2 linked regions of the Bombyx mori genome follow. The protein of the gene in region 1 binds, or shares a complex with, the protein of each later gene. Links are inferred from orthologs where the notes say so. Each region holds a gene or a part of one and is shown on either strand. Other genes may lie near its edges.

Region 1 (6,241 bases):
TTATAGTCAAAGAGGGCAGCCACGATGGCCGAGCGTAGTTTTAGTTGTAGTGCATCTCCCAAATTATGTTGAAGCGCAACAGTACGCAACTCATGTAAAAGTTCTAACTGAGCACGACGATCAGTTCTTTTTCGACCTCTGGCTGCGCTTATTTCACCAAGTTTCTTCACGACAAGTGCAGCATCAATATCACTATCCTAAAAATTTGGTAACAAAAAAAATTTGCTTAATTTATGTATCACTAATTGAATATTTAAGTAAGGAGATTGTAATATACATACTTTAGCGAACATTTTAGGCTTATCAGAAGTCGCCGCACCCTTTCTGACTGTTTCCCATTCACCACCATCATCAGCTACGTCGCGTTTATTGATTTTACCAGACCTTTCACGTCTTTCCTCACGTTTCTTTAGTTTAAGTTTTATTTTCTCTTCATCATCCTCTTTCTTGGTAACTTTCTTGATGAATTGTTCACGAATATTGGAGGTACCACGTTCCTCATCATCAGAGCTAAAACTGGAGTCAGAAGAACTAGAAGCCCAATCCATAGAATCTGATGATTCATCATCTTCTGGTGGTGGACGAAGAAGGGGCTCGGGTTTAGGCTTCTCTTTAATTGGTTTTTCTTCATCTTCAGACTCATCTGATGATGATGAATCTATGAACAAAGTTTGTTATTAATTGTTTTGCATTGAATATGAAGTAGTGTTGAAGAATGTAATTTAAGTTTTCGTTTATTTTTAATTTGCTTACCTTTACGTTCATTGTCATCGGGTAGATCAGGATCTTCACGGAACTTGGATATTTCAGCTTCAAAATCTTTAGTGTACTTCCTAAGTTTCTGTCTTAGTGAGGTAAGAGCTTTACTGTTTCCTTTTGATAGAGCTTTTCGGGCTTCACGTTCATTCCATGCTCCTACTACCCAATCGTCCAATTCTACAAGAGCTCTTATGAAGAATCTAGGAGCAACTCCATTCTCCTCCTTTTGAACAACCGGTGCGGCTCGAGTGTATGCCTTTTGGAGCTCTTCGAAAGAAGCTAATGCTGAACTAAAATCCTTGATTTTCCGATGATTGCGTATAGAGTGTATAATTCCTTCTAATTCCTCATAACGCTTCTCTTTCATTGAGCGCACAACTCGCTTTGTTTCTTCCTCATCGTCACTAAACTGTTGCCAATATAAAGAATTATAATTAATTGTACTTTTCTTGTTCAATATTCTTCTACAGTTGACTGAATTATTAAATAAAATTTGAAAAAATTATTATTCTAAGCTTATAATTCTAAAGATGTAAAATAGACATGTATTAATTTGTTTGAAATTGCCACCAACTAAATCAACGATCTTGAAAAATTTTTGTACCACAGACCAAACAAATTTTATGTAATAAGGCGAACCTATTCATGCTTAGTCGATTTTGAAAGTACTTCAGAACGAGAACTCTAGTAAAATAATGTAATAGCCCTTAATATAGGAAGTCCGCTGAGCGGACGCGGCACTGTTGCCGCCACTGGCCGCGTCTGTTTGAAGTCCTTTGAGCGGACGGGTCCCTGTTGATAGATAAATGTGATTTGACATTTCACGTATCTGTGGAGTCCGCTCAGAGGACACCGCACTGGGGAGAGGTTAATGTATCACAATAGAACATTAACTAGAGTTACAACCATGCTCGGTAAGAGCTGTTGTTAGTAAGCTAGTGTTAATAAGAAATAACTATCCAGTTGATTTTATTAACGCAATATTATAATGGAAGAAATTTTCAATACTCGAATAATCATCATTTGAAGACCAAAACTAAGACATGTAAAACATGCATGCCGTGGTAGCGCAGGCTCTTCTTACACAAGTATACGCAACCTTCCTGTTGTTCACTTATCCTGAGTGCATACCTCAAAATAGAGGCAATTTACTGAAATGACTTGGGACTATAATAATATTGTGAATTGTAATTATAATCTTGTAGAATTTTCCCACAATGGCGCACTTTTAAGATTTTTAATCTGTTAACAATATACAATATTAAAAGATGACAACAAAAAAAAAATTAGCAAAAAAACACAGCAACTCTTATCTCCCAATCAATTTATAACTTTTAGTCTGATCATTTTCTTTTTAAAATTTGAAGCATATGTTTAATGTTTATTACAATTAACATTAGATATGTGTCGTTCGCCAACGAACGAACCAAACGACCCGGGTTTCAAAATCCGCGCGAACATTTCAAAAAATATGAGTCGTTCACTAGATTGACCCGTTTAACAAAACCTACGAATCAGAAGAAAAGAACCATGCAACAGTCATTCGGGTCATTTCGGGTTGCCGGGTCTCGCCCCGCGCCCGTCTCGGTTAGACGTTCGCTGTCGCATAATGACGCATAACGTATTTGAATTTTTTTTATCTCACCTAAACAATCGAACTATAACAGTTCCTTTAAACTGTTATTCAATACTAAACTTCATTCAGCCAGTGACCTGATAATATTAATCACATCATAAATTGGTGTGATTAACGGAAATCCAAACGTTTGACTGAACGGGTCGAACGAACCGGATCATTTTGTCAACAGGTCAGTATTGATCTGATTCTCTAAAATTGATTGAACAACACATATCTAATTCACATCACTGTACTATTCCGGAATCAAAGCATCTTGTTATACAAGTCAAGACAAATTAATAACAAATTGATATGCCAATCACTAGATGCACTTATTAAACTCATAATTGAAATAAATAGAAGTTTTAGTGGCTTACTATTGTTACTATTAAATTATTTATCCATGTATATTATTATATTACTCCAAATTATCTTTCAAGCAGTATGCCAGTTGACCAACAAGTCTACTAAGAGTTTAGGAACGAAAGAGTAGCACGAGCAACCCTTTGTCCTGCCAAGATGTAACTTGTGGGATTTTTTCAGATATTTTAAATTTAACATGGGTTGAATCCTATGTCATACCTTATTTATTATGAATTAAAAATGTTTTAATAATATTATACCATATTTTACAAAGATGACTGAATACAAGAAATAAAATTTATAATTAAAATAATTTCACAATCATTACAAAATATGGCTGTTCCCTTTGCCCATTCAATTTTTTGGACAAGTCGTTAGAAAGCTGTAAGCTGGCACAATAGCAGATTGCGAGCAGAGCAGAAATACATTATTGATCGCTACCCCCTCTATTAGCTACTGATAGTGGACATTTAGGAAAGAATTTAAAGGATCACATTTTTCAAAACTTCTAAAAGAGTTACAAAATTTTGCTAATTGCATTGCTGATTACCGAAAAAAAGTTTCATATATCTTGTCATCCTACATGAGATTAATGTTAGTCTCCCTTGGTAACTTAAAAAACTATTTATCTTTTTTTAAACTATAAATTGAAAATTTTGTTTCCTTGATTCCCAATTATTTATTTTAAATTTACCGTGTAAACTGGCGCGGGGGCGCGTACTACTGGCTCGTCCTCGCTGCTGCTCTCTGACTCCGAGTCCGTCCCAGTTGCAAAGAAACGACTCATATTTACAAGAGTTAGTTAATGCTTCTGTAAAAGAAAACTTCGTTAATTCCAAATGAACATTATTTGACTCCAATGGTAATTTATTTTCTTAAATATCTTAAATAAACATCAAAATTAGTAATAAATAGTTGACTTGTCCTCGCGTTGAGGTTATAAATTAGAACTGTTTAACATTTTTACAATACTTACTGTCTTATATTAAAAACAGAGTAGGTATTCAGTTTTCAAGCAATCCTCTGATGATAGACTTAATAAATTTGTAGCGAATAGAAAGAAAGCTCTCAAATACAGACCTTGCCCACGACTCACTTCATACGTCAAACGCATCAAAGTTGATCAAAGAGCTAAACTTTGTTTCAATTGTTCAATTGGAAAGGCAAAGGGAACGTGGCATATTGACTTTTTTTGTTCAATTAGACAGACACTTAAAAAAATCGTTTTATTTGGCTACATCCCTTTGCTCGTCGTATCAGATAAATTAAACCTAAAATAAACATTTATGGTACATACCTACCATAATAATTGTGTATTATCTGTGCTTACCACCCCCATAATTTCAAGTGCATTCTTTTTGAACATCACCAATAAAGTAACGAGAACACACCTACGTAGTAAATTACATTTTAAGCAATGTCTGGGCATAAATATTTCACAAATCCGAACAACCTATTCGAAAATGACGACGTCGATGATAACGAATTTGTAGATCGCTTCCGGTCAAGAATACCTCAAACACAGCAAGCAAATAAGCCTTATGGAGGTCATATTGCAGAACTGGAACGTCAACGCCAAGCTATGATCCAAACACAAAGAGAAATCGAACAACGGACAATAGATTCATCAACGAGAAGTATCGGATTGCTTCGTGATTCTGAACAAATTGGTATTGCAACGGCCGAAGAGCTTTCCCGACAACGTGAACAGCTACAGAACACAGACAGGCGACTTGATGAGATTAACACCAATTTAAACTATAGTCAAAAACATTTAAATGGTATAAAGTCTGTATTTTATGGTCTGAAGAATTATATTTCCGGAAAAAGTGATCAAACACCATCTAAAAGTCCAGCGACCTCGAATGTACGTAATGCTGGTACAAGTAGTAGCAGGCTTGATGAAACCCTAGATAATATGTCTAGGAACGTTGAAGATCGCTTTGAGAGTCATCCCTCAGCACGCCTACATGGTTTGTCTCAAGAAAGCGCTAAGAGTCCTGAAACAGAAAACGAGAGAGTAAATAATATACTTGATTCGAACTTGGATGAAATGGTGCATGCTATATCCCGGCTCAAACATCTAGGAGTTGCACTTGGTGAAGAGATAGAACAGCAAAACAACCTCGTGGATACTATTCAAGACAAAGTTGAGATTGCAGATATCAAGATTGGTAAACAAAATAAACAAATGAATAAACTACTTGGGAAATAGCAATAATTATAGCAAATTAAAGATTTATTTTAAACAACAACTAAAAGGGTCTATTAATCTATTAAATGTATCTGTTTATAAAGATTTAGCATGTTTTTAATGTGAGTGGTTTGCAAAATTCAGTAGTGTAATCATTTTGTGTGATAAGGAATACTAATGTATGGCAAAGTTTGATAAGATTATTTTTTATTTGAATCACATGACCAGCAGCAATTTGATAAACAACATGGTGTAAAAAGGGGATTTCATAGTAAAGGAAAAATCCATATATAATAAACCTACTAGTAATGTAAATTGTCTGAAAGGCTTCTTACTGCATACTAATGCTCTATACATTCGTCACCACTGCTGAGCTGACTGGCATTTTTATAAAGCTTCATAGTATGTAATAATGGTTCTTGTGTGATACTGTCCATTGTTAGCTGATCATGTACACTTAGTTACATCTAATAAAATGGTGTATGATTCATATTATTTAGGTAAACCTTTTCTGTATCATATTCGATCATCATAACCTTCATTCATTCTTCATAACTTTATTGTGCACAGTATATAGTAAAAAAAATTATCTTGTAATCTTTAAATAAATGTGTTATCTTTTTGGCTAGCAACTTATCATGACAAATTTCTTCTATTTGTTTCTAATTGTTGTTCATGCAATTAGAGACAGTTACAGTATAATAGCTAGGTTTCACTATTTTAAGATAAAGTTTTAAGTACACTTAAATATATATAAATAAGACTTGTGTGCAAATAAAACAATATTAGGGCAAAACAACCAATATAAGGTGAGTACTTACTTTAAGTACCTATGTTCTATTAACTAATCCAAATTTTAAATGGGTGAAAGTTCCAGACACCTCATCATGAATTATGTTCTTGCATCATAAAGTAAGGTACATACATACTAATATTGTTATCAATGAGTTAATGTTTGCCATTAACAATAATTTCATTTATATCCAAGAACCTAGCGATAAGTGTAAACAGTCATTATTATTATATATACTTATTTTATATTGTTTCCATTAATAAATATATTTCAAATCACAAATGCTTTATTTTCTTTAGTTTTTTAAATTCTAGATAGTAATTTACATATTTGCATCAAATACTTGTTCGAAGAAAGTATTATCAACAACAGTTTCCAATATCATGTCATTGGCATCAACATTATGAGTTTTTATATGTTTTTGAAGAACTCTTTTATTTGACAGTTTCTTCCCGCATATATTGCAATGGAGCTCCACAGTGGCATGAGATTCCATATGCATTTTTAAGCCTGA
Region 2 (6,185 bases), on another chromosome or scaffold:
GCTTGATTTTAAACCACTCATCAGCTTGTTAATCTAGTTGCAACTGTACAACAACCACATGTCTGGCAGGAGAATGTGAAGATTGAAGATTTGTTATGATTTTTTTTAGTTTATAGTTTTAAAGTATAGTAACATATAAATTAATTGTGAAATTAAACAACAAAACAATATGACCAAATCATTTTTAATACCATACAAAAAAACTAGTTGTTTTGTTTCGCTTCTTTCGCGTTCTGAAGAGCCTGAGTCAAATACAATTTCGCTAGACTCTGACTACAGAACTGGCTTATATGTTGGCTGTATGTGTCTATTTGTCCGGCTACGATCATAGGATTCAACCTTGGCGGGACTGGATGAGGTTTAAAGAGTTTGTTCACGTCTTCTTCTGGCAACGGGGTCTCATCTTTAGCAGCCCTAGCAGCATTTTCCTGTGCCCTCTTCACCATCCAACGATGCTTGTCTTGTTGCTGCCTGACCACCAGCTGTTGGTACCTATTGAACTTGATCGCTTCTTGATTCAGTTCATCAACACGTTCCATGAGACTGCGAAGTTGTCCTGTAATTAAATCAATTTTATTGTTATGATGATAAATACAATATTTTTAAATAAAGTGGGCCCTTAGATGCCCTTAAATTGTAAAATCAGATCAACATTAAAATTCATTAAACAAAATCAATAGTTTTACACAAAATGAAGAGAAAAATGCTATGTAATGTTTTCTACTAAATATTATAACATGAAATAATAAAGAAAAACCTCTCTGTAGATTGTTTATGATGACCAACATATAGATATGAACATTTAAGTAAAGGAAGAAACATAATCTTCAGGCTCTTAAGAGCCACCTCATATTAACATAAGGGAATCGAAGTTTTAATGACATTGGATGGATGTTTATCTGTACCCTTTAAGAGGACACTTTCTTAGTAGAATTAATAAGCAAGATGATAGTGAAAGCTCACCTGCTTAAAATTGTCTATTGCCATTCCTCCACATAGTAAAAATTACAAGTTTAATATAGCAGTTAGGAAACAACTACTGGGAAAAGTAGTAGCTTCAGATTGCAGCAAAGGAATCAACCCATAATTGATGTAGTCAGATGTAGCCTAAATCTTGAAAGCTTTTCTGATAATTGTATACCATAGTAAAATTAAACAAACCTTCGAGAACAGATGCAGTACCCAGATCCAAAAACTTGGATCCTTCCTCTTCAGGTATCATCTCGGTGAGCTCAGAGATCATTATGTTAGTTAATGGAGAGTTCCGGATAACAATTGGCACTTCAATGAATAGATTTTCATAGCCAATCTTCAGGTTACGTAGTGCTTCCGGAGTGTAATCGCCTTCCTTGTACATAGCAATAGCCTGTAAAGTAAGTATTAACCTCAATTTTACATATATTCTTATTCATACATGAACACCCAACTATACATAATGTTTTCACAATATAAATATAAAAAAAAAACAACAATAATTTACTTGCTTGTTGATGAGCATATTGTGAGTCCAAGTTACTATTATTTCTGCACGTAATAATAATGTGTTTAAGGATTGAGAACAGTCTTACATCTTAAGACATGTGTATAAGAACATACATTACCATCCTCTTTATATTTGCTGGGAATCATACATTCATTCTGGTTTAATGGTGAGACATCAAATATATTTTTTTTTATTATTTTTATTGCCTTTGTAGGCAGACGAGCATACGGCCCACCTGATGGTGAGTGGTTACCATCGCCCATGGACTTCAGCAATGCCAAGGGCAGAGCCAAGCCGCTGCCTACCGCTTAATGCACTCATGTTGTGATATCTGCAGGTTGCATGGACCACTTAGATAGTATCCCCATAAAAAACATTTAAAATATCTCAAAAATATAGATTCTGCCATTCACTTAGCATTAACAAGTGATAACTTCACTAAATATACGTAATATAAATAAATAAAATAGCTCAACTTCAGAAATTAGTTCTGTCATAAAGCTCAATTAACAACATTAGCACTTTAAAATGTGTATAGTTATGAGAGCTTAATTACCTGAGGTGTCAAACGATAGGCCTTCAAAGTCAAGAATCCTCTGGCTGATTTCTTTGTATCGTAAATCACAACAACACTCTCCTCAATAGAGGTCTGATAGTGATATTGTGACTCTAATAACGAAAGGCTTAGAAAATTGCCTACATCTGCACTCTGGTACCTGAAGAAAGATATGAGGTATAAGAAAAAAGAAAGTTCTGCTGTTCTAATTTAAAATATTGTATGACATATTTTGACATACTATAAAACAATTTTCAATATTAATTACCATCCAACATGAAAATGATCAACATTGACTCTTCGAAGCCTCCTCATCATGTCCAACTGGTATTCCTCCTCATCCATGGTGTCGTCATGCTTTGGAAATGGGAAGCAGTTGGTAATCTCCAGACGGTTCTCAACGACCAAACCAAGGAGAGCTCCCTGAGCCACCTCCATGTTGCTGCATGATTCTTCATGACAGTGTTTCACTATTTTCATCACTGCCTAAAATAAAAAGCACAAATATATTATAAAAGTGGGAGCAGATCTGTCATTTCAAATGCTTGAGTTAGTTCGATGAGGATTTGTTTGATTACCACATATTAAACTGTTTTACCACTACTTTAAGCATGTTTCAACTAAATAACTTCAGAGAGGATATTATTCAAGGCAAGTTAAAATACACTTTAATGTGTAACAAGTTTAACAAAACAAATTAATACCTACCCATCCCTAATAAATTATTGCTATATTAACTTTCTGTGTATGTGTAGGAAATCAATCAGCTTGCTATTTGCAATCAATCAGAACAAAAACTAATCTCAATCATTTACAGTTAGGAAACTATAAAATTATCAGTAAATAGTAGTATAGTATATAACAAAAAATGACTTCACATATACTATCAAGATCTAAACTTTGTAATGAAGCATAGTTTAAAACACTAATTATATAGTTCAGAGAAAATTTAATGTTTTAGATGTACAGTTAGGTGAGATCATCCTCCTATTTCAATGACCCCCGGGCTCAGGGCAAATGTCCCAAAACAGTCAATGACTCAACAACGTTTATATGTTGTAAACAGAAATAAAAAACCTTTGTAGTCTTTTATTTTCTTTTTATATCGAAAGTTTTTTGGTTCATAGAATCCTATAGAAATTAACATAACGAATTATTCAAGGTTTGGTGAATTGTCAACGTTTGCCCGATTTATTTAAAAAGAAACGAGAGCACAAAATTGAAAACATAACCTATACAATTATCTTTATTATTGCAACGGCAACCTATTTTATTGTAATCTAAGATCTCCTAAAATCATACAACACGAATCATGTTCCAGATCATAATAATCCACCTTAATTGACGATGTTTACTTCTATATATTAATTAAATGGTAAAAATACATGACGTGTCGAGGCACGAACTTTCACAAAGTTTTTAATTTAAAACCTACAGTTGACGTCCGTCTCAGAGAACCTATCTAAACTTTAATTTTAAATTTACTTACCAGTCCATCGCACTGAACATATTGGATCGTCGCTTCATTTTCAGGAGCGCGTCTAGCTGAACCAGCACGGCTCGCCATTTTTAATTCACAAGAGAACGTTTGATTTGATTACATTTTAGTGTAGCTCTCCAAATCGACTATCAATAGCTATCGATAATTGTAATCGATACCTTATTTGCAATCGACACTATACGACAGATTAGCCTTTAAAAATACTACCACGAATATCACATCTCGATTAAACTTAAACACTGTTGGAACTATATACCAGTTTTTACAAATTTCTGGGTTTTAAAAAGAGTAGGTATACGAAGACATACACACGCTAATGAGATTAATATAGTAGTTTTTATATCCCAGTTACAATGCAATAAATAAGTGCCGTAATTTTGCGTATTGTACTATGGATCACAATGATAGTTAATCCTAATGTTTACGGTATAAATGTAAAACAATTAATGCATTATGATCTTGTAAATATTCTTTAACAAATCCATTTTTAGTAATGATAAAAATTAAGGTTTAAAAGATTTTTTATTTATATGATAAATCTCAAATGTTGTTCAATCTTTTTCTATTATCCATGTATAAATTGTATTACATTCTTACAGATTTTGAATTAAAAAAAATACTATAAAGTTAAGTGATATGGCTCGAATTACACTTATAGACGTGAGGTCTCATTATTTGCTTTAATAAGGAAGTGGTATCAATTCGCGTTATCGCTGTATTTATATTTTACCGTTCGTCAATTTGTAATTAATCGTTTATTTATTAGGTTGTACCTTATGGAACATTTTGTTAACTTACGACTTTTGCTTAAGACTCTCGCTCTACAAAGCACAGGTCCGGCCTCGTGTGGAGTACTACTCCGACCTCTGGGCCGGGCTCCCAAAAACCAGCTACTTCCATTTGACTCTATACAGAAGAGAGCCGTTCGGGGGCTCCCAAATACCAGCTTCTTCCATTTGACTCCATACAGAGGAGGGCCGTTCGGATTGTCGATAATCCCATTCTCACGGATCGTTTGGAACCTCTGTGTCTGCGGAGGGACTTGGGTTCACTCTGTTATTTTGCACCGTATGTTCCATGGGGAGTGCTCTAAGGAATTGTTAGACATGAAACCATCATCTCGTTTTTACCATCACACCGCCCGCCACCGGAATAGAGTTCATCCATAATTCCTGGAACTACTGCGGTCATCCACAGGGCGTTTCCAGAGATCTTTTTGCCACGTACCGTCCGGCTTTGGAATAAGCTCCCCTCCACGGTGTTTCCCGACAACTATAACAACGCCTTCTTCAAACGAAGCTTGTGGAGAGTATAAACTGGTTGGCAGCGGCCTGGCTCTGCCCCTGGCTCTATCCATGGACGACAGTAACCACTCACCATCACATGGGCCGTGTGCTCGTCTACCTACAAGGGCAATAAAAAAAACAAAGCTTAGAACTATGTGGTGAAAAAATTTGTTCCTGTTGTGCAGAATTGATTATTTCAAAGCTTAAAACGAATCTTTTACTAATTAATTTTCTATTGTTTTGCTTGGCTCGATGAGTAAATTTTACCCTACAGACACAGCCCACTGAGTTTCTCACCGAATCTTCTCAGTGGGTCGCATTTCCGATCCGGTGGTAGATTCTGCGAAGCACGGCTCTTGCTAGGATTCATGTTAGCAACGTCGTTAGGTTTGAGCCCCTTGAGCTCACCTACTAGTTAAGGTTACGCTGATATGGTCTCACTAGAGGCTAGACCATCAGCTTAGGTAGGAAAAAAAAAGAGATCGTTTAGAGCCTAGCTACCGGGCAATTATAGCAGCTCCGCGGAAGATCTGCCCTATAACGTTACCCACAAAGATTATACAGACAGAAAATACAATAATAACAATTACAGTTTTAATACCTATTAAATGTATTATCTGTATTCACAGCAGTACACATACCTAATTTTATTCGTGAATGCAATTTTGCTTAAAGGTATCGTTACCAGGCCATAAAATCAAAAAAAAAAGGATACAATTACATATCTCAATACATAAATATATGTATGTATGTACATAGTGTAATCAAAATCGTTTTTAATTACTTTATCCATAAATGTTGTGGAAATTTTGCTTGAAGTCATTAATATCTATGATGTTGTGGCAATTCAAAATGTTTTGGCATCATAAACTTATTTTTGATTCTAAAAATACTTTGGCTCTGTGATCTGTTTCGTTCATTAAATTGAGTTTTGTTAATTAAATTAGTGTTAAACAAACACCTACTTATCAATTTAAGAAAACTTGATTAAATAATGAGTCAGCATAAGTTTTGGAAAGGAGTGACTCCCCTAAACGTGCCGACGTCTCAACAAGTACCTGATAAAGTTGTTAAATTGTGCTCATTAGATACAAATTTTATTGTGTTAGGAAACGACCATGGCATCTATTATTGCGAAAATGCAGACGATTCTTTGAATTTTAAAAGGGTGAGCGGTATTTCAGCACTGGACATATCATATCATAATGGCATACTATATATCATAGACACGCACGGGCGCCTATTTAAAACAAATTGTAGCTTTAAAAATAAAGAAGAAATTGTAGTAAAGGAAGACTCTAAATGCTGCCCCCACGGGTTCAGGAGCTCAAGTTACAAAGTCAAATTTCGGACTGTTGT

The links.
Region 2: eIF3c (region 1) and eIF3h share a complex: the UniProt entries of both Drosophila melanogaster proteins name them as parts of the eukaryotic translation initiation factor 3 (eIF-3) complex. The link is inferred for Bombyx mori from reciprocal best matches to the Drosophila melanogaster genes eIF3c and eIF3h.

What each region holds. Positions count from the first base shown.
Region 1 is NC_085122.1:5,757,779-5,764,019, reverse strand, and holds the start of eIF3c (eukaryotic translation initiation factor 3 subunit C), read right to left. Parts: upstream 3,956-6,241; 5' UTR 3,821-3,955; exon of another isoform or gene 3,717-3,820; intron 3,552-3,716; 5' UTR 3,528-3,551; coding exon 3,435-3,527; intron 1,169-3,434; coding exon 754-1,168; intron 659-753; coding exon 282-658; intron 198-281; coding exon 1-197. Other genes in the region: soluble NSF attachment protein 29, read left to right, coding at 4,158-4,955; gastrula zinc finger protein XlCGF57.1, read right to left, coding at 6,050-6,241. UniProt on the Drosophila melanogaster protein: Component of the eukaryotic translation initiation factor 3 (eIF-3) complex, which is involved in protein synthesis of a specialized repertoire of mRNAs and, together with other initiation factors, stimulates binding of mRNA and methionyl-tRNAi to the 40S ribosome.
Region 2 is NC_085110.1:3,929,164-3,935,348, reverse strand, and holds eIF3h (eukaryotic translation initiation factor 3 subunit H), read right to left. Parts: upstream 3,623-6,185; 5' UTR 3,607-3,622; coding exon 3,529-3,606; intron 2,526-3,528; coding exon 2,308-2,525; intron 2,200-2,307; coding exon 2,040-2,199; intron 1,367-2,039; coding exon 1,162-1,366; intron 557-1,161; coding exon 204-556; 3' UTR 169-203; downstream 1-168. Other genes in the region: alsin, read left to right, coding at 5,821-6,185. UniProt on the Drosophila melanogaster protein: Component of the eukaryotic translation initiation factor 3 (eIF-3) complex, which is involved in protein synthesis of a specialized repertoire of mRNAs and, together with other initiation factors, stimulates binding of mRNA and methionyl-tRNAi to the 40S ribosome.